Linked DNA regions of Saccharomyces cerevisiae S288C. The protein of the gene in region 3 interacts with the protein of the main gene of each other region in a biochemical or structural test. Each region holds a gene or a part of one and is shown on either strand. Other genes may lie near its edges.

Region 1 (5,760 bases), 490 kb from region 3:
AATTCTAACACGCTTTTATGTATGATTGATTTTTGATATTTTGGCCCGAAAGATAATTCTGGTCTCCCGGAAACATGAAGATGCAGCAAAGTAAAAAATAATAGGTAAAAATAATAAAAATACATGTATCTTTTTGGTTGGTTAATTTATCTAAACAGTTTTATATATATATGTATATATATATATATATATACACAGTATTAATATTCTTTCCTTGAGATTACTCTCTATAAAAAAAAAAAAAAAAAAGCTTTTAAAAAAAAAAAAACTCAAAAAAAGAAAGAATATTCAAAGAAAGTTTCATCTTGTCAGTTGAAATGAATAGTTTATTGTGGAAATTATAACAATAAAAGTTAGCTAAAAGCGAAAGTGTCGATGAAACTGGGCAAGTGCACTTGAGCTCTTGATATGGACGGTAGTATTGGTTACAACAATGACTGGTAAAAGAATGAAGTGGTTTGAGATAATTTTAGAGAAACAAAAAGAAATAACAAAGTGATAGTAATAAAAACGGTGCGCAAATGAGGATAAAAAAATCAGCACAGAAACTAGAGAAAACGGATAAAAAAATAAAAAAGCAGAGACAAAAATTAAATTACGACTGATTCTTGTTCAAAATCAATAGTAAAAGTATGGTTACAAAGTAATGTAATTCACAATGGAGATTTGAAAAAAGATAAAAATAATCGACGATTAGATCACAAAAAAAGCGTATCTCACCACAGTAGTTATTTTTTCTTAGATATTCTTTAATACTGGGGTTGTGACTGACCAGGTGGCATCGCCATGAAATGTTCCTGCTGTGGAGGATACCCCTGCTGCGATGGCATTTGCGGTGGAGGATACGCCTGTTGTTGCTGATGCGAAGGAGGAACCATGAATTGTGGATGATGTTGCTGCGGAGGAATAGCAAATTGTTGCTGAGATGGTAATTGTTGCTGAGGTATCGCTTGTTGATGATAGCTCTGTTGCTCTATCGGGAATGGGACAGGTACCGTTTCGTCATTTTCAGCCACATACAATGACTTATCGATAGTGGCCGGAATAGCCGCAATTTCAGTGCCCAGTTCTTGTTCGATTTTATAAAGGTTAAACCGATCATTCCAGTTAATCAAATTGATTGCTAAACCCAAGTGGCCAAACCTACCGGATCTACCAATACGATGTAAATATGTTTCTGCCGTTTTGGGGAAATCGAAATTGATAACGACATTAACGGCTTGAATATCGATACCACGGGTCAATAAATCGGAGCAGACCAATGTACGAACCTTACCTTGACGAAATTCGTGGAAAACTTTATTTCTTTCTTGTTGCTTCATTCTTGCATGAGAGTAATAACAGGAATAGCCTAAATCAGTGATTTTCTTGGCTAGTAATTCGACACGGTTAGTAGAATTACAAAAAATAATGGCTTGATTAATTTGAAGCTTAGAGAATAAAGTATTTAAACAATGTAGCTTTTGTCTTTCTTCAACAAAGGCGTAGTATTGAGTAATACCCTTTAGAGTCAATTCTTCCATCAAATTAATTTCATAAGGCTTATGCAGATGTTTAACCATGAATTCCTTAACCGTTAGTGGGAAAGTAGCGCTAAATAATAAAGATTGGTGAGTTGGAGGTAAGAAGGATAAGATTTGTTCAATTATTGTCTTGAAGTCACGAGATAACATTTTATCGGCTTCGTCCATGATGAATAATGAACAATCAGACAGATCTGCTACTTTTCTCGAAGCTAAATCCAACACTCTACCAGGAGTACCAACCAAAATATGGACTGTTTCATTTAATCTTAGAATATCGTCTCTCAAATTGGTACCACCAGTGGTCACCATACATGAAATACCACAGTGTTTTCCCAATGTACGGACGACTTGGGAAGTTTGCAGAGCTAACTCTCTTGTGGGAACCATGATCAAAGCCTGAATTTTATTCAACTTTGGTTTGACTTTCTCTAACGTAGGAATAACAAATGCGGCTGTCTTACCTGTACCATTCTTTGCTCTGGCCAATATGTCTCTACCAGTTATTGCTACCGGAATAGCCTCTTCTTGAATAGGGGATGGTTTTTCAAAACCGGCTTCAAAAATACCCATTAACAGCTCTCTTTTCAAATAAAAATCTTCAAAAGTATTACCCTTTGTATTTAAGACATCATCTGTCTGTGGTCTGGTATCCTTCTTGGGAATATTCAATGCAGTTTTCCAGTCCCGATCGAGATCCGTATTACTGTTATTATTAGTGTTGAAGTTATTATTGATGGAACCCATTACTACTATTTTCTTTCTTGTCGTATTTTAGGCCTGGGATAAGTTATTATGCGAATGGCGATGCGGTTATGAAGAAATAAAAGGGCTAAAAGTAAGAATTTTCTGCGTCTATCTTTCTATTAGGAATAAAATATGACTATATTTACTATTATTGTTGTTTTGTCGTACAATCCTTTATGAATGAAAATATTAAGCTTGTGGTCTTAAAAGAATGTGGATGAAACAAAACTGAATCCAATGATGAGAAATAAATGTACAATCAGATAATAAACACTTTTATTGATGATTGTCTTTTCTTGCAAACCCCAATGTTACAATCGCCCATTAGTTCTAAGATTGTGTTGTCCTTTTTCTTACGAAATTTTTTTCCCTCCCTTTTTTGATCACTGTCCTCGTTATAAGTGATTCGTGGGGTAACGGCGATATCATACTATTATTGGCCCATCTGATGGATTAGAAGACCTACAGGTTAATGTGAAGCGACACTAATGATAAGAAAACTGCATCGGATCATATCTGTTTTTGCAGCGTGGTATATTGGTTGTTGGTCATGTTTCAACGAAAGACTTTACAGAGAAGGAACTTGAAAGGGCTCAATCTTAACCTGCACCCAGATGTGGGCAATAATGGCCAATTGCAGGAAAAGACAGAGACTCACCAGGGACAATCTCGAATAGAAGGCCACGTGATGTCTAACATTAATGCAATACAGAATAATAGCAACCTGTTTTTGCGAAGAGGCATAAAAAAAAAACTGACGTTGGATGCGTTTGGTGATGACCAAGCTATATCGAAACCAAACACTGTGGTAATACAGCAACCGCAAAATGAACCTGTTTTAGTTCTGTCTTCTCTATCACAATCCCCGTGTGTATCATCATCATCATCTTTGTCCACGCCATGCATTATAGATGCGTACAGTAATAATTTCGGATTATCGCCATCATCCACGAATTCTACTCCCTCTACGATTCAGGGATTGTCCAATATTGCAACACCAGTTGAAAACGAACATTCGATATCACTACCACCTTTGGAGGAAAGCCTATCGCCAGCCGCAGCAGATCTGAAAGATACGTTGTCGGGAACTTCAAATGGTAATTATATACAACTCCAGGACTTGGTTCAGTTGGGGAAAATTGGTGCTGGAAATTCTGGAACTGTGGTGAAGGCACTACATGTTCCTGATTCCAAAATAGTTGCCAAAAAAACCATTCCTGTGGAACAGAATAACAGTACAATCATCAACCAATTAGTTAGGGAATTATCTATCGTCAAAAACGTTAAGCCCCATGAAAACATTATCACCTTCTATGGAGCTTATTATAACCAGCATATAAATAATGAAATCATAATTTTAATGGAATACTCTGATTGTGGTTCTTTAGATAAAATACTGTCCGTTTATAAAAGGTTTGTTCAAAGAGGGACTGTTTCGAGTAAGAAAACCTGGTTCAACGAATTAACAATATCAAAAATAGCGTATGGCGTACTAAATGGCTTGGATCATTTGTACCGACAATATAAGATCATTCATCGTGATATCAAGCCTTCCAATGTTCTGATTAATAGTAAGGGGCAGATTAAGTTATGTGATTTTGGAGTTTCCAAAAAACTAATAAATTCTATCGCTGATACATTTGTTGGAACGTCCACTTATATGTCACCAGAGAGGATACAAGGAAACGTTTATTCTATCAAAGGGGACGTTTGGTCATTGGGCTTAATGATCATCGAGCTGGTAACTGGAGAGTTTCCCCTAGGTGGGCATAACGATACACCTGATGGCATATTGGATTTGCTGCAACGTATTGTCAACGAGCCTTCACCAAGATTACCCAAAGACCGTATCTATTCCAAGGAAATGACAGATTTTGTCAATAGGTGTTGTATTAAGAATGAAAGGGAAAGGTCATCGATTCATGAATTGCTACATCATGATCTTATAATGAAATACGTATCACCGTCTAAAGATGATAAATTTAGACATTGGTGTAGAAAAATAAAATCTAAAATAAAGGAAGACAAGAGAATTAAAAGAGAAGCCTTGGACCGTGCCAAGTTAGAAAAGAAACAATCGGAAAGATCAACCCATTGAATGCATGCGATAACATTAGTTAGGAACATATTGCACTTTTTTTCACATCCCTTTCTCAAAGCTATATTCATATATATATAGACTCTCCTGATTATGTAAATCACAAACCAATTTTCTAATGTAACAATATTTTTAAAAATAATCATCAAAGTAGCACTTTATGTACAGAAAATTTCACGATTGAGAGAAGCTTGCGAATAATACTAGTTAGCCTGTGTTTCACCATCGTTACTTAATTTCTTATAGTTCTTATATTCTTTATTTTTATGCCACAACCAACCTTCGGTTCCTCTAACGAAACCGAAGGCGATTAATAACCCACCGAAGCTACGTAAAGTTACTTTCCACCATTGTGGGTTTCTTTTTTCAAATTCAGTCAGAGAAATGCCTCTTTTGGCTTCTTTTTTACCATACTTGAATGGTTTCCCAGATGCCAAGTATGAGCCAAATCCAACAGAAAACATAGTGCTCATGACTTGACAAGGAACGCAATCCATAGTCTCTTCTTTTTCCAGCTCCCTTTGTGGTGGAGGGTTGAACACTGCCAAAATATTACTCATTGTTTTTCACCACTTGCTGTTTCTCTCTAAGCGGTGTTTTGTTTCCTACTTGGTGGCACACAATGACTGTACTCGCTTTATATGCTCGTACCTTTTTTCAAAAGCCCATCGTTAATTTTTCACCCGAGGACCCCATATTACGCGTTTTTTGTTAATGTTCAATTTCTGACATGTTACAATTATAATAACGCCAAAAGAGGTAAATGTATATTTGAACAATTGTTAAAGAGAAGATAAAAACCCTTTAATCTTGCATTTGTCGTCAATAGTACACAATAGGCGATCTATTTTAGTACGGCAATTAAAAGAAAGCTGCTTTTCAGTCAAGAATGCCGGAATTAACAGAATTTCAGAAAAAACGTTTAGAGAACATCAAAAGGAATAACGATTTATTGAAAAAACTCCATTTGTCTGGAGTAGCATCTCAAATTAAGCACGAGGCTGGGGTGTTGGAAAAATCTAGAGCTCCTGCAAAAAAGAAACAAAAAACAACTAATACCAGAGCAACCAAGTCTGCGAGTCCCACTTTACCTACACGAAGATCAAGAAGGCTAAGGGGTGAGTCTGCAGACGATGTGAAAGGAATACCCAATGTGAACGATAATCAGTTGCTTAAAATGGGTTCTCCAGATGGCCAGGATAAGAATTTTATAGACGCAATAAAGGAGAAACCTGTAATAGGAGATGTGAAATTAAGTGATCTGATCAAGGATGAAGACGAAAGTGCCCTTTTAGAGAAATTCAAGAGGTTTAATAACGGAAACTTTTCTTCTGGTGATTTCTTTGAAGAAATAAAAAAGAGACAGGGTGACGTTACGGGGATGGACGAATT
Region 2 (4,563 bases), on a different chromosome or scaffold from region 3:
CTTCTGTATCATTGTTCGAAAAAATCTGATAAATATAATTACCAACGCCAAACGTATTATCGTGTGTATCATGGGGACTAAACTTGAAAAGGGAATATGGTAGTACTGAAGCTATTTCGGATAACTGCCAGCGCGTTAAGCTTCCCTCGTCGTCGTGATTTCCCCATACCATTGCCCACGGAATTTTTCTTGCAATGACGGGTGCTACCGCCTTTAATAATACGGTTTCAGAGTCTTGAATAGATCTATCACCCATGATTTGGTCACCAGTAAAAACAACCAACTGCGGTTTTTCAATGTCAAGAACTTGTTGAACGAAAGTTTCCGTTTTTGGATCTGCCTTGCAAGCTTCATGCTTTGGATACTCATCGATACATTCAGACTCCCCCACACCCAAGTGGAGATCCGCCAACTGAACAATTTTGAACTTTCCTTCATCAGTTTCTTGCAGCCGTTGAGCTCCTGTGTCTACAGGACGAGTACCAACGAATTTGTAAGTCAAATAAGCAGGTTCGCTGTAGCGGTATTTTACTAAGGGAAATTCTTTTTGAAGAGTCCAATTTGCTATCGGCTGGATGCAATCAACACCAAAGAGAATGTTAATATCGCTTATGTAGCTCCTTTTCTGCAATAGTTCTATGCTAATAGGCTCGAATGTGATGGATACATCCATAAAGGGTAGCGATTTGTCTTTAGGATATTTGGAAATTCCAGTTACTGCCTCAACATTTAGCTTTTCTAGGTTGGATCCAAAGTAGTCCACCAAAGCAGGGTATAACACATCATAGTAAAGGTATTCTGACTTTCCAAACCACCTGCGTCCAAAGGAACCTCTCAAGTCTTTATGAATTCTTTTCCTTTGTAAGTATTGGTGCCCATCAGTTAAAGTTGATTTAAGTTCATGCCGATTAAAACATCCTTCATAAAAACGACCAATATGAAAACATTCGTCATAGCCTATATTTACAACTAGCTTATCGTCATTTGAGAATCCCTCTAGACCTTTATTTTGGAACCATAGATTATCAACGTGTGATATCGGGAGTGCAAGGTCGAAACCAATGTGCTCTTCAACTCTTGGCGCCTGTAGGAAGTAAAATAGGGCAATCACTACAAAAACTACCAAGTATAATAGGTACCTTTGATACAGCCTCGGTAACCGGATCATGTTAAGATTTTTAACCACGGTGCTGGTCTTCGATACTTAAGTATAAAACTTGTATCAGAGGTATCTGCGATCTAAAAAGATTAATTTTTGAAAAAGATCAACACTAAACCATTTGAAATTCAAAAAGCACCTAAGGCAAAATATAAATCTAAATATACGTAAAATGGAAACACTTTCTGCGCAGCTTTATACAAGTTAGCCTTCTAGCTTATGAAATAGAAATGAAATATAACTGAGCAAGTCCTATATACAATACTATTAATGATCTTCTTGTCCATGAGACTGTTCATGGTGCCTTTTAGAGACTTCTTCATCACTTATCTGAGGCCTGTGGCCACCCGTTCTCAATAAACCACCGGCAGTATCTTCAACTGGAAATCTTGCACTGGGTCTTACGCAATGGGGCTTGCGTAACTGTTCAAAATCCATGATTTTAGTTTTCCCTCCCCCTTTTAAAGTAATCTTTGGATTCTCGCCCAACTTTTCCTCCACTTCTTTTATATTTTGGGTGCGTTCTTTACTATTATTATTATTATTATTATTACTAACTGCCATTATAGTTTCTTTATGCTGTCCTCACCATGCCTTTCGTTATCAGGCTAGCATTAAAAGCCTTTTAAGGTGTAAAGCTTTCGCCGCGATGGCTTTAAACAGTAGAAAATATTCATATTTACACACATGCATAAAGAGAGACCACTTAATAAAGCTAGTATGATAAGATCACCGGTAGACGAAATATACATGGAACAGACACAAACAGCAGAGGGCACTGACTTACTAATTGGTGACGAAAAGACCAACGATTTACCTTTTGTGCAGTTATTTCTGGAGGAAATAGGATGCACTCAATACCTGGATAGCTTTATTCAGTGCAACCTTGTCACAGAAGAAGAAATTAAGTATCTCGACAAGGATATCCTCATTGCTTTGGGTGTAAACAAAATAGGAGACAGACTCAAAATTTTAAGGAAGTCAAAATCGTTCCAGAGAGATAAACGGATTGAACAGGTGAATAGATTGAAAAACCTGATGGAAAAAGTAAGCTCTCTATCCACTGCTACGCTATCGATGAATTCAGAATTGATTCCTGAAAAGCACTGTGTTATATTTATCTTAAACGATGGTTCCGCTAAGAAAGTTAATGTAAATGGTTGCTTTAATGCAGATTCTATTAAGAAAAGGCTAATCAGAAGATTGCCACATGAATTATTAGCCACAAACTCCAATGGAGAAGTAACTAAAATGGTCCAAGATTATGATGTGTTTGTCTTAGATTATACCAAGAACGTACTGCATTTGCTATATGACGTGGAATTAGTCACTATTTGCCACGCAAATGATCGTGTTGAGAAAAATAGGCTAATTTTTGTTTCCAAAGACCAAACACCAAGTGATAAAGCTATATCCACATCCAAAAAACTATATCTAAGAACGTTGAGTGCATTGAGCCAGGTTGGGCCATCCTCGTCAAATTTGTTGGCACAGAACAAGGGGATTTCGCATAACAATGCTGAAGGGAAACTCCGGATCGACAACACAGAAAAGGACAGAATTAGACAGATTTTTAATCAGAGGCCTCCTAGCGAATTTATTTCTACCAATTTGGCCGGATATTTTCCTCATACAGACATGAAGCGGTTGCAAAAGACGATGAGAGAGTCATTTCGCCATTCAGCAAGGCTAAGCATTGCTCAAAGAAGACCTTTAAGTGCAGAATCAAATAATATCGGTGACATACTATTGAAACACTCAAACGCTGTTGATATGGCCCTATTACAAGGATTAGATCAGACAAGATTAAGCAGTAAACTTGACACAACTAAAATTCCGAAGCTTGCCCATAAAAGGCCAGAAGATAATGATGCCATATCTAACCAGTTAGAACTATTAAGTGTAGAGTCTGGTGAAGAAGAAGATCACGATTTCTTTGGGGAGGACAGTGACATTGTTTCATTACCGACGAAAATTGCCACGCCCAAGAATTGGTTAAAAGGTGCTTGCATTGGATCAGGCAGTTTTGGGAGTGTTTACTTGGGCATGAATGCTCACACTGGTGAACTAATGGCAGTAAAGCAAGTGGAGATAAAAAATAATAACATTGGTGTTCCCACAGACAACAATAAACAAGCCAATTCTGATGAGAATAATGAGCAGGAGGAACAACAAGAGAAAATAGAAGATGTTGGGGCGGTAAGTCATCCAAAAACCAATCAAAATATTCACAGAAAGATGGTTGATGCTTTACAGCATGAAATGAATTTATTGAAGGAGTTACATCATGAGAACATTGTTACTTATTATGGTGCTTCTCAAGAAGGCGGAAATTTAAATATTTTTCTTGAATACGTTCCTGGGGGTTCGGTTTCCTCCATGCTGAATAATTACGGTCCATTTGAGGAATCACTGATTACTAATTTCACTAGGCAAATACTGATTGGGGTTGCGTATTTGCATAAGAAGAACATTATTCACAGAGATATCAAGGGTGCAAATATTTTGATTGATATCAAAGGTTGCGTAAAAATTACTGATTTTGGTATTTCAAAAAAATTATCACCTTTGAATAAAAAACAAAATAAGAGAGCTTCTTTGCAAGGTTCCGTATTCTGGATGTCACCAGAGGTGGTCAAACAGACCGCTACTACTGCTAAAGCGGATATATGGTCTACAGGATGTGTTGTCATTGAAATGTTTACCGGTAAGCATCCTTTCCCAGATTTTTCTCAAATGCAAGCGATCTTCAAAATAGGCACAAACACGACCCCCGAGATACCTTCCTGGGCTACGTCAGAAGGAAAGAATTTCTTAAGAAAGGCATTTGAGTTGGATTATCAATACAGGCCTAGTGCCCTTGAATTGCTGCAGCATCCATGGCTGGATGCACACATAATTTGAAAAAGGGCTACTTATTAATTCTTTTTATGGCACTAAAGTGCTCTGGCCGATTTTTTATCAAATAATACATATATATCATATTTAGTGACATTTATTGAATATATCTGCTATTTACCGGTTTTTTTTTTTCAATTACGCTGATTAAGTAATCATAAATCACAATTGTGAAAAAAAGACCAAACTAGATGACGGTATTTGATTCTCATACCCCTGGAATAAAATCAAGTAAGATAATTCTGATAAAAAAATCCGACCGCACAGATGGAAGCACGAAGAAACAGGCCTTTCTTTGCGAGGTGATATCAAACCATTGATATCTTCTCAATAACCTGCTCTAGGAAAAGGAGGTAGATAGACAAAAGCAAGGAAATAATCCATAGAGTTTCATTCACATGAATAATCTGTTACCAATTTTTCTCATAAGATAAAGCCATCTATCAAAAATGATATTGAAATATTTGAAAAATGCTTGTTTTTATGGGGACCACAATTCGCCTGTA
Region 3 (7,151 bases):
GTGAGAATTTGCTTTTTTCGATGAAAGCATATAGAGCAAACCCACCATTGCCTATAGATTCGATGATTGACGACACTAGCACAGAAATAGAAAAAGAAGAAATTTGGAAACAGTGGAAGAAAATTCCAGAGGTTTACGAGCAACAACCTTATCCCTTAGACACAAATGATCACATCGAGTGGATGAACTGTCAAACGACCCAAAGTGAATATGATTCCAGAGATTTCTATGCTTTCCATTGTTTTCATAGAAGGATTGATCAAATACTAAAAACGGACAATGTGATTGACCTAACTGAGGTGAAAGATATATATCAAGGAACAAGGACTGATTACGAAGCAGACAAAATAAAATATGGGGTTTACAAGGAAGCTAGTGAAATCTTTTGGCATAGAAACTACGAGATTGATGATGTTTCACGGTCCGTAATAAATATAGAAACCTCAAATGGACTCCTCTTGAAGCTGCTTGCTACATCAGCAACAGTTGCTGAAGAGTGGGTCATAAAGCTGAAACAAATGATATCCTATTGGAAAAACAAGCAAAGGGAAGATACGGAGAGGCTTTTAAAAATAAGGCGTTCAAATGCAGGTCTTTTGATGCTAAATGGAGAAGAGGAAACAAAAATTGGTGAGAATACATTGCGCTGGATCGTAGAACATGGGCGTGCAGATGAGCAAACCTTTAATGCAAATGGAATATCATTAAGTAGGCCGTTAATTCAAAAGGGACCTTTATATCAAAAGCCGCACAAGCATTCTGTTTTCTCGAAGTACTACGTCGTTTTGATATCAGGTTTTATTGTACTGTTCCACTGCTTTCATAGATCAACCACAGGTTTTGCTAAGGAAGTTTTGGAGTATGCTCATTATGTAACCATTCCGATTGACGATTGCTACCTATACTCTGGGACCACAACAGAACTAGACCTTCTGCAGAGAGATCGTACTTTTGACGAAATAAACTATGGATCCCACGCTCTCCCACGAGTTTATGGGGACGGATGGCGATCTGTAGAAGACGAGAGTTCGCGATGCTTTACGCTTTGGTTTGGAACAAGGCGTGCCCTTTCTAGCAATCGCTTACAGAAGAAAGGGAATGAAAAGCAATATACGCAAGATTATGGTAGACAAGATAATAATATTGACCCACCTTCTGCTCCGGAAGCTGACTTGAATAACTCTAATGTTCCAAGTAACACAGATAAGATCCATTTCACTAAAAAGTTAGGTGTGAGCGGCAAGTCAATGGTTTTCATGGCAAGATCAAGACAGGAAAGAGATCTTTGGGTAATGTCTATTTACTATGAACTTGAAAGACTAAGAAGAACTGCGTCCACTTCAAATTCACGGAATCAAACTATGTAACAATATGTAGTTACGAAACGTTTGGCGGGATGCTTTCTTTTTATTATTGCATAAAATTTAGTGTATACTCTATATATAATCCATATGGAGGGGACAGTTGTTATTACCGCTCTCTATAAGACTCGAGAATGAACTGCGTCTGGTTATGCCATCGATTCCTTTATCCATATCACTAAGTAATAATACTGGCATATCATTTTCATTTTCATTTTCATTAGTACCTTCCTCCTCAGAATGAAGTGAAAATCTAATATTAGGAATCAGAGCTGGCTGTACTGAAGAAGCGACAGTTTCTAAGTTTTCTATATTGCTATGTTCACCCTCAGTGAGAAGGTTTCTGTCATTCACCATATTTGCGGTAGCATTTTCATTATCAAATGGAGAATCAATATGAATAGTAGTTGTAGATTCAGCATCCGACAGTGATCCTGAACTATTATCAAGTTCATTATCGGTCGAATCATCATTATCCTCTTCGTCATCGTCATCATGTTCATCAAAACTTAGACCGAAACTGTAGCAAAGAGTTTCTAAAACAAAAGTCCAGGAGCTGGCCTCGACTAGTTCATCAATTTTATCACTGTAGTCAACGTTCAAATAGCCCACCTTAATCTTCAATTCATTGGGCCTTCTTCTTCCAAAACTTGTAAAGCATCTGTAATCTTGAAATAGTATGGATTTTTTTGCTTCCATATTACTATTTGATACAGCAACAATACCCAAATGTTCATGAATATTTTCGGGATATAGAGTATTTTTCAACCAAATAGGTGAAAATTGTGTCGAGGAACTCTTTGATTTGAGATTTGAGATGGAATCTAGTGAATCTATCTTGTGTAATACCGATCCATAGTCCAGAACATAATTATTTCGATCAACGAAACAAAACTGCAAACGCGCAAATTTAATGGTTAAAGCTTTTAGACTGTTATAAACAACAATTAAACTGTCTTCTTCCTTCAATTTCGTAAAATCGATCTGTAAGATTATTGCCAAATTATCAGGTTTTTCTCGTTTAAGGGAAAGAATTGAGCTTATCGTGGTTAGAACAGATTGTATACTGTCGACAGTACTCTGCCTAGAACATTCTCCTGAATTTAAGGTGAATCCCCTCCTTATGATTACAGTATCATTATCGTGCACATTTCCAACTTCAACAACTTTGTTAGGATTGATTAAACCTAGAAAGGTACTCGTCTCGTGCCTACCATTACCAACATCTTTTGAAAAGTTCTTTATAATGGGAAGAATAGGCAGGGTCGAAGTGATATTGTCCTCATTGAATACAAAATCCTGATTCAATATACCTGATATCCATTTCTGTACAGTTGTGCTTTCGTCAGAATTTATATTCTGAACAATGTAAAGATCTGATAAATCGGCGCAATGTTGTTTATTTAAGGTGCATTTGAGTACTGAAGCTTCGAGTGTAGTCATTCTCAAGTTGGCAATAGGTGTAAATACTTCTAAATTCTTTAGTCTAATTTCCAAAACATCAACATCGTTATCCACTTCTGCTATTACAAATGCGTCTTCAAATAAGAAACACCAGCATTGTATATATCTCTGACCATCTTTGGAAATCATCAATTTGTCTACCAACCTTAGTAATCCATAGTCCCCGTCTATTCTCCAATCCTGCAATTCTTCCTGGAAATTGTTCAAAAGAATTTGAATAAAATATGACCTTAACAGCGGCAACGTTGTTTTGGTTTCGTCATCCTTTGCTCTTACCGAATTGGAAACAGCAGAAATAGAATCATTAGCTGACAACGCTACAGAGGTGTCTGCTAAGATAGAGTTTGCTCCGGACGGAATTCTTCTGTGCCCCAGGGGTGAATGTAAAAATGTATAGTTTGATTTTTTTTGTGGAATTTGGTTTCTTTCCTTGGGGGGTGCAGCCAATATGAGATTTGGGTTTAGACTTGGAGCTTGAGAATATATCGTTTGTCTTTCAACAGGTGTATAGGATAACCCAAAAGGAGGCAAGAGTGGTGAATAAGGAGGAAAGCGGGACTGAGGTGTGATTGATAACTCAGAATCAGGAATCTTATGAATCAAAAAATCAGAAATTAGAATATCCTTTAGTTCATCATTTTCTGGAATGCATTGAACGGCTTTGTTAGTATCTTTTTTACATTTGGTACAAAAAGGAAATAGCGCACGAACGTCTGCCTTTGAAGTGGTGCCAAAAGAGATAATAAGACATTCTTGGTGACTTAAGTGGCCACATGCAAGCTCTATAATTTTCTCTCCCTTTCTTCTGTTAGAAATAGGCTCGTCACATAACGTACAAGAAGCATTCAAAAAGGATTTTTTAATAGAGGTTCTTTGTATTGGATAGCCAAATGGAGCGACCTTGGGTGGTATATTATCTGATAAATTTTCGGCCCTTGGGGGCTCATTTGCTCGGGATAGGTTACTATTACTTGCGTGAAAGAGATTGGAATTAGGTCTTGGCAAAGACGATGTTCTGTGAGGGTGTTGTGGCAAATAATCAGTGGAAACCGTAGAAGGTGTATTCATTAGGTTACCGTCTTCATTGCCAGAAGAGTTTGAAGAAGTGACCCTAGATTTGGGTGAGAACGAAAATGTAGAGGAGGAAATAGGAGAAGGTGAGAATCTTTTCTTTTTAGCACTACTTCTTTGGAACCTGGCTAACTTTTCCGTCCATTTTTTTCCTCTTGACAATGGGGATAGAGTACTGGGCTTCTCTAGCTCTATTATTTGGTTGGGAGTTCTCGACAAGGTACCACTATATTGTGTCGAGCTACCAAAATTGTGAAAAGGGGAAACTATATTGTCTGTAGGAGTTTCCATCATTTAAAAGTTGTTTCCGCTGTATCCTGTATCTTCCTTTTTTAGCGCGGATGCTAGATGGGTTAAAACAGTTTTAAAATATTTTCAAATTACTTTTTTATGCCTTTCTTTTGTCGTCAACTTTTCGAGGAAATTCTCGGTATTTTCTTTAGCTACTATCGCCTTTCATATTTTGATGCAGAAAAGTACATGATGTGTAAATTAACAAGCTACATATCGCCGCACCCAAAAAAAAAAAAGAAAAGAAGGGAAATTGTTCAAAATTATGACAGGTTACCTATGGACATGTGTCGTCTAATCACTACCTTTATATTTTTTAATTAATTCATGTGCACAGGCCTGCTTTCTACTATTGAGCAATACGCCTTCTAAATGACTCTCCTACTTCAAAAATGTATCAGAGTAGAACTGCGGAAAGATCCAATATTTAACGCTTCTTCTTCACTCGAAATATTTCTGTCAGTTTTAGAATCTGTTATATATCCCTTTAAAGGAAACTTGATACTTCTAGATTTTCATCTTGTCGATGTTCAAACAACGTGTTATCAGAGAAACAGCTCTATGAGAAATCAGCTGATGTCAGTATTCTGTCAGTCACTTCGTGAATTTACATTGACTGCTCTTTCGTGCAATTCATACTGTATTATTATAGTTGCAACTAGATGGCAAAAAATTGATAATGCCCTAAAAATGACAGGCCGGTAACCCTAAGCTTTTTTTTACCCGGAGAGGGTCATGCCTCTGTGAAGCTTTTTTTGCTTTCTGAAAAAATTTTACCGAAGTAAAGAAAAATTTCAGCAGAAGAGATGAGATGAGCTAAAGCATCGTGTTATTCAAAATACTTTTAAGAAAAAACCCGACCCGACTAATATTGCTAAAACTATCATGGCTCTAGCTATCTCCCACGAGGATACTCAGATTTTGCTAAAGGACAAAAATATTCTACAGGAATCGGTCTTGAACAAATACAGAACTGCTGGACAAATCGCACAAACTGCTTTGAAATATGTTACTTCTTTGATCAATGATTCATATCACTCTAAGACCACACAGCGCCAATTAACCGTGCCAGAGCTATGTTTGCTTACCGATTCTTTTATTTTGACCCGGTTGGAACAATATTATAAAAACAAAGTTAATGAAAGAGGTATTGCCATTCCAACCACTATTGATATCGACCAAATTTCTGGTGGATGGTGCCCCGAAATAGATGATACTCAAAATTTGTTAAACTGGAATAAGGGGAAAGACTCCACTTTTGCATCATCTGTCACTGGGACTTTGAGACCGGGGGATTTAGTCAAGATTACACTAGGTGTTCATATTGATGGTTACACCTCTGAAGTTTCTCATACTATGGTTATTTACCCCGTTGATGAAACCAAACCTATTCTTCAACCCACTGGGCCACTACTAGGTGGTAAAGCGGATGCTGTAGCTGCTGCTCACATTGCTATGGAAACAGTTGTTGCTTTATTAGCCTGTGCTCTGACTCCAGAAAAGCTTCCTGCCTCACTGGGAGGAACTTCAAGTGGTATCACAGGCCAATTGATTAGAACTATAGTGGATACTATTGCCAGATCTTATAACTGTGGCGTTGTTCCTGGTTCTCGTGTAAGAAGGATTAGAAGATTCCTGGCAGGCCAAAACGAAGGTATTGTTGCCGAAAGGGAATATAAGGGTGTTGTTTGGACAGAGTCCCATCAAGAAGCAGATTTGCTATCTAATACTGATGCCAAGGATTTAACAGTGGTAGATCGTGGACAATCGACTCCATTCACTAATGTTTCTGCTATTCCAAGTGATGATTTCGTTGTTCAATCAGGTGAAGTGTATTTAATTGATTTGAAAATGGCATCTTTGGAGCATTGTACCAAAAAGGGTTTAGTAACTTTAGAAACCGTTGACTCTTACACAGGTAAATCTCATAAGGCTGGAGAATTGATTGCAAGACCCGGTGCATATGTTAGAGATTTTGCTCAAACCCATATTCTTAAATTAAAAACTTCTAGACAATTATTAACTAAAATCGATAAACAAGGCGTTTATCCATTCAAGTTATCTCATTTATCTTCTAACTTTCCTTTCGTTCACGAAAATGAAGAAGAACTCCAAAGCTTAAAGAAAGATTTGAAATCATTTAGACTTGGGATGAGTGAGATTTCCAACAACTACTTATGTGTGGAAAGTCCAATACAAATTGCTAGATGGGTTCCATGGGACCATATTTTAAAGGCTACCAATCCAAACGGTAATTTAAGTTATGATGCAACCTCTACATTAACATTACCTGGGCATGAGTTACCTTTACCAAAATTGGGTGTTTCAGCCATCAAGCTTAAATCCTTAATGAATTCAACCAAGGAATCGATTTCTTTACCAGTTGCTCGTGAATGTAATACCATCGTATTATGTGACTCTAGTGTAAGTACAACGGACAGACCCGAATTATTGAGATTAACTGGTGGTTCTAAGACCTGTCAACCGAGCTGGATTCACTCTCAGCACGAATTAAATCCACAAGATTCAATTGTTCAAGGGATCTTTCAATTAGCTACTTTGGCCAAGGATAAGAGGTTCGGTCTATTATTAAAGGAAACGCAGCCAATGAAGCAGAAGAGTGTTGAGACATCAAATGGCGGAGTTGAAGAAACCATGAAAATGTAGGAAACTTCATCATTTCTAAAGCTAGTATATAAATAATATAAGTATATCATAAAATGTAAAATAGAATATTATAAAAAAAGTCAACCTAGCTGTACTAAAACCGCTTGGTTCATTTGCTCAGAATCTTGCATTATAATTACATTTTATTTGCTATACAGATGAGATGGAAGATTAAATATCTCACGCCTGTTTCGCCATGCTTTTGTAACACCGGCGGATTGAGAGACATGGGCTTCTAATATTAAATCATGTCATCGTCATCGTCGATGTCATCATCACCAATTGACAAAGATGAGC
Region 4 (5,268 bases), on a different chromosome or scaffold from region 3:
TTAGCTTTGAAATGTGCGAAGGAATTAGGTATTTTTTAGATAACCAGTAAAAGTCTCCATGTTTGACTATGGGAGCTAGTACTGTACCATCCGATCTTTCTAAAGTGTTTCTGGTAAAGCAGGCAGTAATATTTTGATTAGCCAGCTCACTCAAACTTAATAGATCATAGGCTATGTTTGGTGTGTGTAGTGCTTTTATTGATGTTTTGGTGCCGTTCTGAAAGTTGAAGTGAAGATTACCAATGGCATTTATAGGAATGTCTTGTTTTTGAGCATCGACTATGTTTATTTCAGAATTGGGTGTTGCATGGTGTAAATAATGGGCTGATCTGACAAGCGTTTGCGAAGCTCCTGAATCAATAAGAAGGTGATCAGGTAGTTCGTCATTCGAGTCTATTGTGTGTGTTGGCTTAGATTCTTTCTGTTGCTGGCCTAAGACTAAGTTCGTCGTCATCGCTTAAGTATTGTGATGAAACGGTTGATTCATTAATGTGATCATTGTTCACCCTTGAGAATTTACTAGATGTAGCAATATTGTGAGCTTTTGCTGCTCTTGGTTTTGAACTATTTGTTCTATGATAATTACGAGTTGTAACCTTTGTGTTAGTCGTGTTTGGAGATGTGCGAGAAACATTTTTGTATTCGCTGTGTTGTTTGTATTGGGACGGTTTATTTAGATTCATGATTTTATTTTCGTCATATATTAATTGAATTTCAGCGAATAATTGGGAAAGTTTCATGTTCGTTTTGGTACGATATTGATTACGTAGGTATTTGAAGTCACCGGATAGACCTTTAAGTATTAGTTGACAGGCCAATCTGTCGCTAACATTGATATTGTTTTCTTTTAGCCTCTGAATGATCGTACTGACTGTAATTTCAAATGTATCAGCAGATGTACTTCCGTCGTACTCAAGGTTGGCAAGAGCTATCCAATCCTTTAATTCTTGATTGTTAGTTTGCATTTTGGACACACTTTTACAAAGGACTGTAAGGATGTCAGCATAATTAATTTCTAAAATTTGTTTTACCCATGTTGGCAATAAATGAAATGGGGCAAATGCTTGGAAGGTATTGTATATATACGCATGTTCTTCATAAGTCATTTGTCTTTTGATTTCACCCTGGTCATTTGGAATGATGTCACCGAGATTAGAGTTCTTCAAAAATCTGATGTAAAATTTAACCCATGTAGAAAAGTTTTCTTCTGATGTTAAAGTGTGTGGTGGTAAGACGTTATTTCCCACCTTTGTCTTAGCTTGAGGTATTTCAGAGTGTTGATTTTTTAAATCGATTGGATCAGGTGAGGAAGTACTCAGTGGTGGGATATACTGTGGCAACGGATAGTGTGGGTCCGGTTGATAATACGCAGGTGACGTTTGATAATGTGAACACGTCATCATAGATGGTTGTTGGTAATGTGCCCAGTTAGAGGCCATAGCTTTGTTTGGGGTCATCATGCCGTGCTGTTGGTACTGTCCATTCTGTGGAGGTGGTACTGAAGCAGGTTGAGGAGAGACATGATGATGGTTCTCTGGAACAGCTGATGTCCCAGGTGTTGTCTCTTGTTGAGAATTAACCTTAGTGGAATCTCTATCAAATTCCGGTAAATTGGAAGCTGAAACGGCTAACGGATCTTGATTTTATGGGACTTCCTTAGAAGTAACCGAAGCATAGGCGCTACCATGAAGAGAATGTGGATTTTGATGTAATTGTTGGGATTCCATTTTTTATAAGGCGATAATATTAGGTATGTAGATATACTAGAAGTTCTCCTCGAGGATTTAGGAATCCATAAAAGGGAATCTGCAATTCTACACAATTCTATAAATATTATTATCATCATTTTATATGTTAATATTCATTGATCCTATTACATTATCAATCCTTGCGTTTCAGCTTCCACTAATTTAGATGACTATTTTTCATCATTTGCGTCATCTTCTAACACCGTATATGATAATATACTAGTAACGTAAATACTAGTTAGTAGATGATAGTTGATTTTTATTCCAACAGTATTTATGTTTTGTCATTCTTTTCTACATAATCTTGAAACTAGGTAGATCTACAATTGAAAAGTAAATACTAACATTATTTACTAAATTTAAGTTAGAAATCGGCACGAAAAAAATTTGACAGATTACGAGAGTCCAGCCAAAATATGAGTATATTACTATTTCCCCTTGGTGAAAGAAATGAAAGATGTTATTTTTTACCGGCTTAGTAATACTGAGCTACTTACTTGGGGGAAAGAAAGATTGGCTACTTATTATGTATGAAGCCTCAGATTACCTTGAATTCCTCAACCGTTTGAGCAGTATGCTCTTCAAATTCGAACTTTTTGAACATCTTTCCTCCACATTCCTGATTTTTTCACATTCAAAACGCGCTGTGAAGCTGTTAGAAATTTACAGATCGAGGCATATTTCTATATATAATGTATTTTTATTAAGACACCCAAAGTACTTCCAATCTGTAGATATTGCACTTTATCTGACCAGAAGCCAGACTTGAACAGTTACATATTGTGCTTTGCAGTCGTTAAATTTCCCGAACTGTTTTCGTATTTTTTTTTCTTTTCCTCTTTTCCACTGGATCAGATCAAAAGCCGACTAAAAATTTGGCAATTTAAAGAAAGCATCTTTTAAAGATAGAAAAGGTTATTTCAACAAAAAAGTATCTTTTCTTCACTTTTCTTTCAACAATTCAAAGATGGCTAGAACCATAACTTTTGATATCCCTTCCCAATATAAACTCGTAGATTTAATAGGTGAGGGAGCGTACGGAACAGTATGTTCAGCAATTCATAAGCCTTCCGGCATAAAGGTAGCTATCAAGAAAATACAACCGTTTAGCAAAAAATTGTTTGTTACAAGAACTATACGTGAGATCAAGCTTTTACGGTATTTCCATGAACACGAAAACATAATAAGTATATTGGATAAAGTAAGGCCAGTATCCATAGACAAACTAAACGCTGTTTATTTAGTCGAAGAGTTGATGGAAACCGATTTACAAAAAGTAATTAATAATCAGAATAGCGGGTTTTCCACTTTAAGTGATGACCATGTTCAATACTTTACATACCAAATCCTCAGAGCCTTAAAGTCTATTCACAGTGCACAAGTTATCCATAGAGACATAAAGCCATCAAACCTGTTACTAAATTCCAATTGTGATCTCAAAGTCTGCGATTTTGGACTAGCGAGGTGTTTAGCTAGCAGTAGCGATTCAAGAGAAACATTGGTAGGATTCATGACGGAGTACGTCGCAACGCGATGGTACAGGGCACCCGAGATAATGCTAACTTTTCAAGAGTACACAACTGCGATGGATATATGGTCATGCGGATGCATTTTGGCTGAAATGGTCTCCGGGAAGCCTTTGTTCCCAGGCAGAGACTATCATCATCAATTATGGCTAATTCTAGAAGTCTTGGGAACTCCATCTTTCGAAGACTTTAATCAGATCAAATCCAAGAGGGCTAAAGAGTATATAGCAAACTTACCTATGAGGCCACCCTTGCCATGGGAGACCGTCTGGTCAAAGACCGATCTGAATCCAGATATGATAGATTTACTAGACAAAATGCTTCAATTCAATCCTGACAAAAGAATAAGCGCAGCAGAAGCTTTAAGACACCCTTACCTGGCAATGTACCATGACCCAAGTGATGAGCCGGAATATCCTCCACTTAATTTGGATGATGAATTTTGGAAACTGGATAACAAGATAATGCGTCCGGAAGAGGAGGAAGAAGTGCCCATAGAAATGCTCAAAGACATGCTTTACGATGAACTAATGAAGACCATGGAATAGTATTCACAAGAACATTTCTGCCATACTTCTAAAATTTCCCTATATTCAGCTTAGCAGTGACACGTTGTGGTCTGTAGGTCAATATGTAAGTAAGAAACTTCAACTCACATATGCACGATGCATGCCAATGGAAAAATGCAAGGAACGAAATGGCGCCACGGCAACAAGTTTTTTTTTTTCGCCAGCAGAAGTACACGAAATGCGGCTTCATGAGCCTCTTCACTGCTTTGCCTAAACGGGAAATGCAGAGAAAAACCAGCCATCGCGTGTGCTTGGAGAGCTGACGCGACTGTAATCAAAGAGGCGATATCAACACCTTTTATCCAGCACTATTCAACAGTGAATGGGCTCCCAAGTAAGTCTTGGCATTGTGCTTTCTATTCTTAAGTATTAAGTAGAAGTTTTGTTTACTGGGTTTGTTTATTCCTGGCTAGATGTTCGCATTCGTTTTCTAGTTGACCATATTTACCAAATATTCACAACTAATACCCAGCCAAGGTAGTCTAAAAGCTAATTTCTCTAAAAGGGAGAAAGTTGGTGATTTTTTATCTCGCATTATTATATATGCAAGAATAGTTAAGGTATAGTTATAAAGTTTTATCTTAATTGCCACATACGTACATTGACACGTAGAAGGACTCCATTATTTTTTTCATTCTAGCATACTATTATTCCTTGTAACGTCCCAGAGTATTCCATTTAATTGTCCTCCATTTCTTAACGGTGACGAAGGATCACCATACAACAACTACTAAAGATTATAGTACACTCTCACCTTGCAACTATTTATCTGACATTTGCCTTACTTTTATCTCCAGCTTCCCCTCGATTTTATTTTTCAATTTGATTTCTAAAGCTTTTTGCTTAGGCATACCAAACCATCCACTCATTTAACACCTTATTTTTTTTTTCGAAGACAGCATCCAACTTTATACGTTCACTACCTTTTTTTTTACAACAATTTCATTCTTCATCCTATGAAATGACGAAAATAACCAGAGATGTTTCGATAACGACAGAAAATTCAAAATCCACATCTGGATCGGCAACGGCTTCATCCGCATCTTTACCTGAGAACGACCACCCAATATTCCATCAACCGCGAGCAAGAATAAGATCTGGTTCGCTGTTCATCGAAGGATCTGATTCATTTCCATCATCAGAAGTGAAGTCATACAATGTTTATATTGATGATAGCAAGTATAGTGAAATCCTCAAAGGAGATACAAATTCAAGTAGTACTGATGGTAAACAAGTCTTTGAAGATGCTAGAGATGACAATTTCCATCAGGAATCACATAGAGATCTAGAGGATTCAATTTTAGATTTAGTACGACGAGATCCAGAAGTAGCAGCATTCCCTTTACCTCCGCCAAATTCAAATGAGAGGAACAGAAATTCCTCAAACGGGTCTTCCGCTGAAACTAACCTAAATGGACACAGCAG

Evidence for each region.
Region 1: the proteins of STE5 (region 3) and STE7 form a complex in vitro, tested with the Saccharomyces cerevisiae proteins (3 studies listed by BioGRID, with this or other methods).
Region 2: the proteins of STE5 (region 3) and STE11 form a complex in vitro, tested with the Saccharomyces cerevisiae proteins (one study listed by BioGRID).
Region 4: the proteins of STE5 (region 3) and KSS1 form a complex in vitro, tested with the Saccharomyces cerevisiae proteins (2 studies listed by BioGRID).

What each region holds. Positions count from the first base shown.
Region 1 is NC_001136.10:169,661-175,420, forward strand, and holds STE7 (mitogen-activated protein kinase kinase STE7), read left to right. Parts: upstream 1-2,820; coding exon 2,821-4,368; downstream 4,369-5,760. Other genes in the region: DExD/H-box ATP-dependent RNA helicase DHH1, read right to left, coding at 750-2,270; YDL159W-A (uncharacterized protein), read left to right, coding at 2,522-2,653; DMO2 (Dmo2p), read right to left, coding at 4,572-4,928; CMR1 (Cmr1p), read left to right, coding at 5,258-5,760. UniProt on the Saccharomyces cerevisiae protein: Serine/threonine protein kinase required for cell-type-specific transcription and signal transduction in yeast. It is thought that it is phosphorylated by the ste11 protein kinase and that it can phosphorylate the FUS3 and or KSS1 kinases.
Region 2 is NC_001144.5:847,957-852,519, forward strand, and holds STE11 (mitogen-activated protein kinase kinase kinase STE11), read left to right. Parts: upstream 1-1,909; coding exon 1,910-4,063; downstream 4,064-4,563. Other genes in the region: DCR2 (phosphoprotein phosphatase), read right to left, coding at 1-1,168; YLR361C-A (uncharacterized protein), read right to left, coding at 1,427-1,723; NMD4 (Nmd4p), read right to left, coding at 4,539-4,563. UniProt on the Saccharomyces cerevisiae protein: Serine/threonine protein kinase required for cell-type-specific transcription and signal transduction in yeast. It is thought that it phosphorylates the STE7 protein kinase which itself, phosphorylates the FUS3 and or KSS1 kinases.
Region 3 is NC_001136.10:655,389-662,539, reverse strand, and holds STE5 (Ste5p), read right to left. Parts: upstream 4,191-7,151; coding exon 1,437-4,190; downstream 1-1,436. Other genes in the region: SPO71 (Spo71p), read left to right, coding at 1-1,367; YDR102C (uncharacterized protein), read left to right, coding at 4,560-4,892; ARX1 (putative hydrolase), read left to right, coding at 5,073-6,854; TVP15 (Tvp15p), read right to left, coding at 7,096-7,151. UniProt on the Saccharomyces cerevisiae protein: Component of the pheromone signal transduction pathway. It mediates pheromone signals acting between STE20 and STE11. It is absolutely required for pheromone-induced transcription of FUS1. May play a role in cell-cycle arrest in response to pheromone.
Region 4 is NC_001139.9:572,683-577,950, forward strand, and holds KSS1 (mitogen-activated serine/threonine-protein kinase KSS1), read left to right. Parts: upstream 1-2,715; coding exon 2,716-3,822; downstream 3,823-5,268. Other genes in the region: YGR039W (uncharacterized protein), read left to right, coding at 2,206-2,517; BUD9 (Bud9p), read left to right, coding at 4,805-5,268. UniProt on the Saccharomyces cerevisiae protein: Together with closely related FUS3, KSS1 is the final kinase in the signal transduction cascade regulating activation/repression of the mating and filamentation pathways, induced by pheromone and nitrogen/carbon limitation, respectively.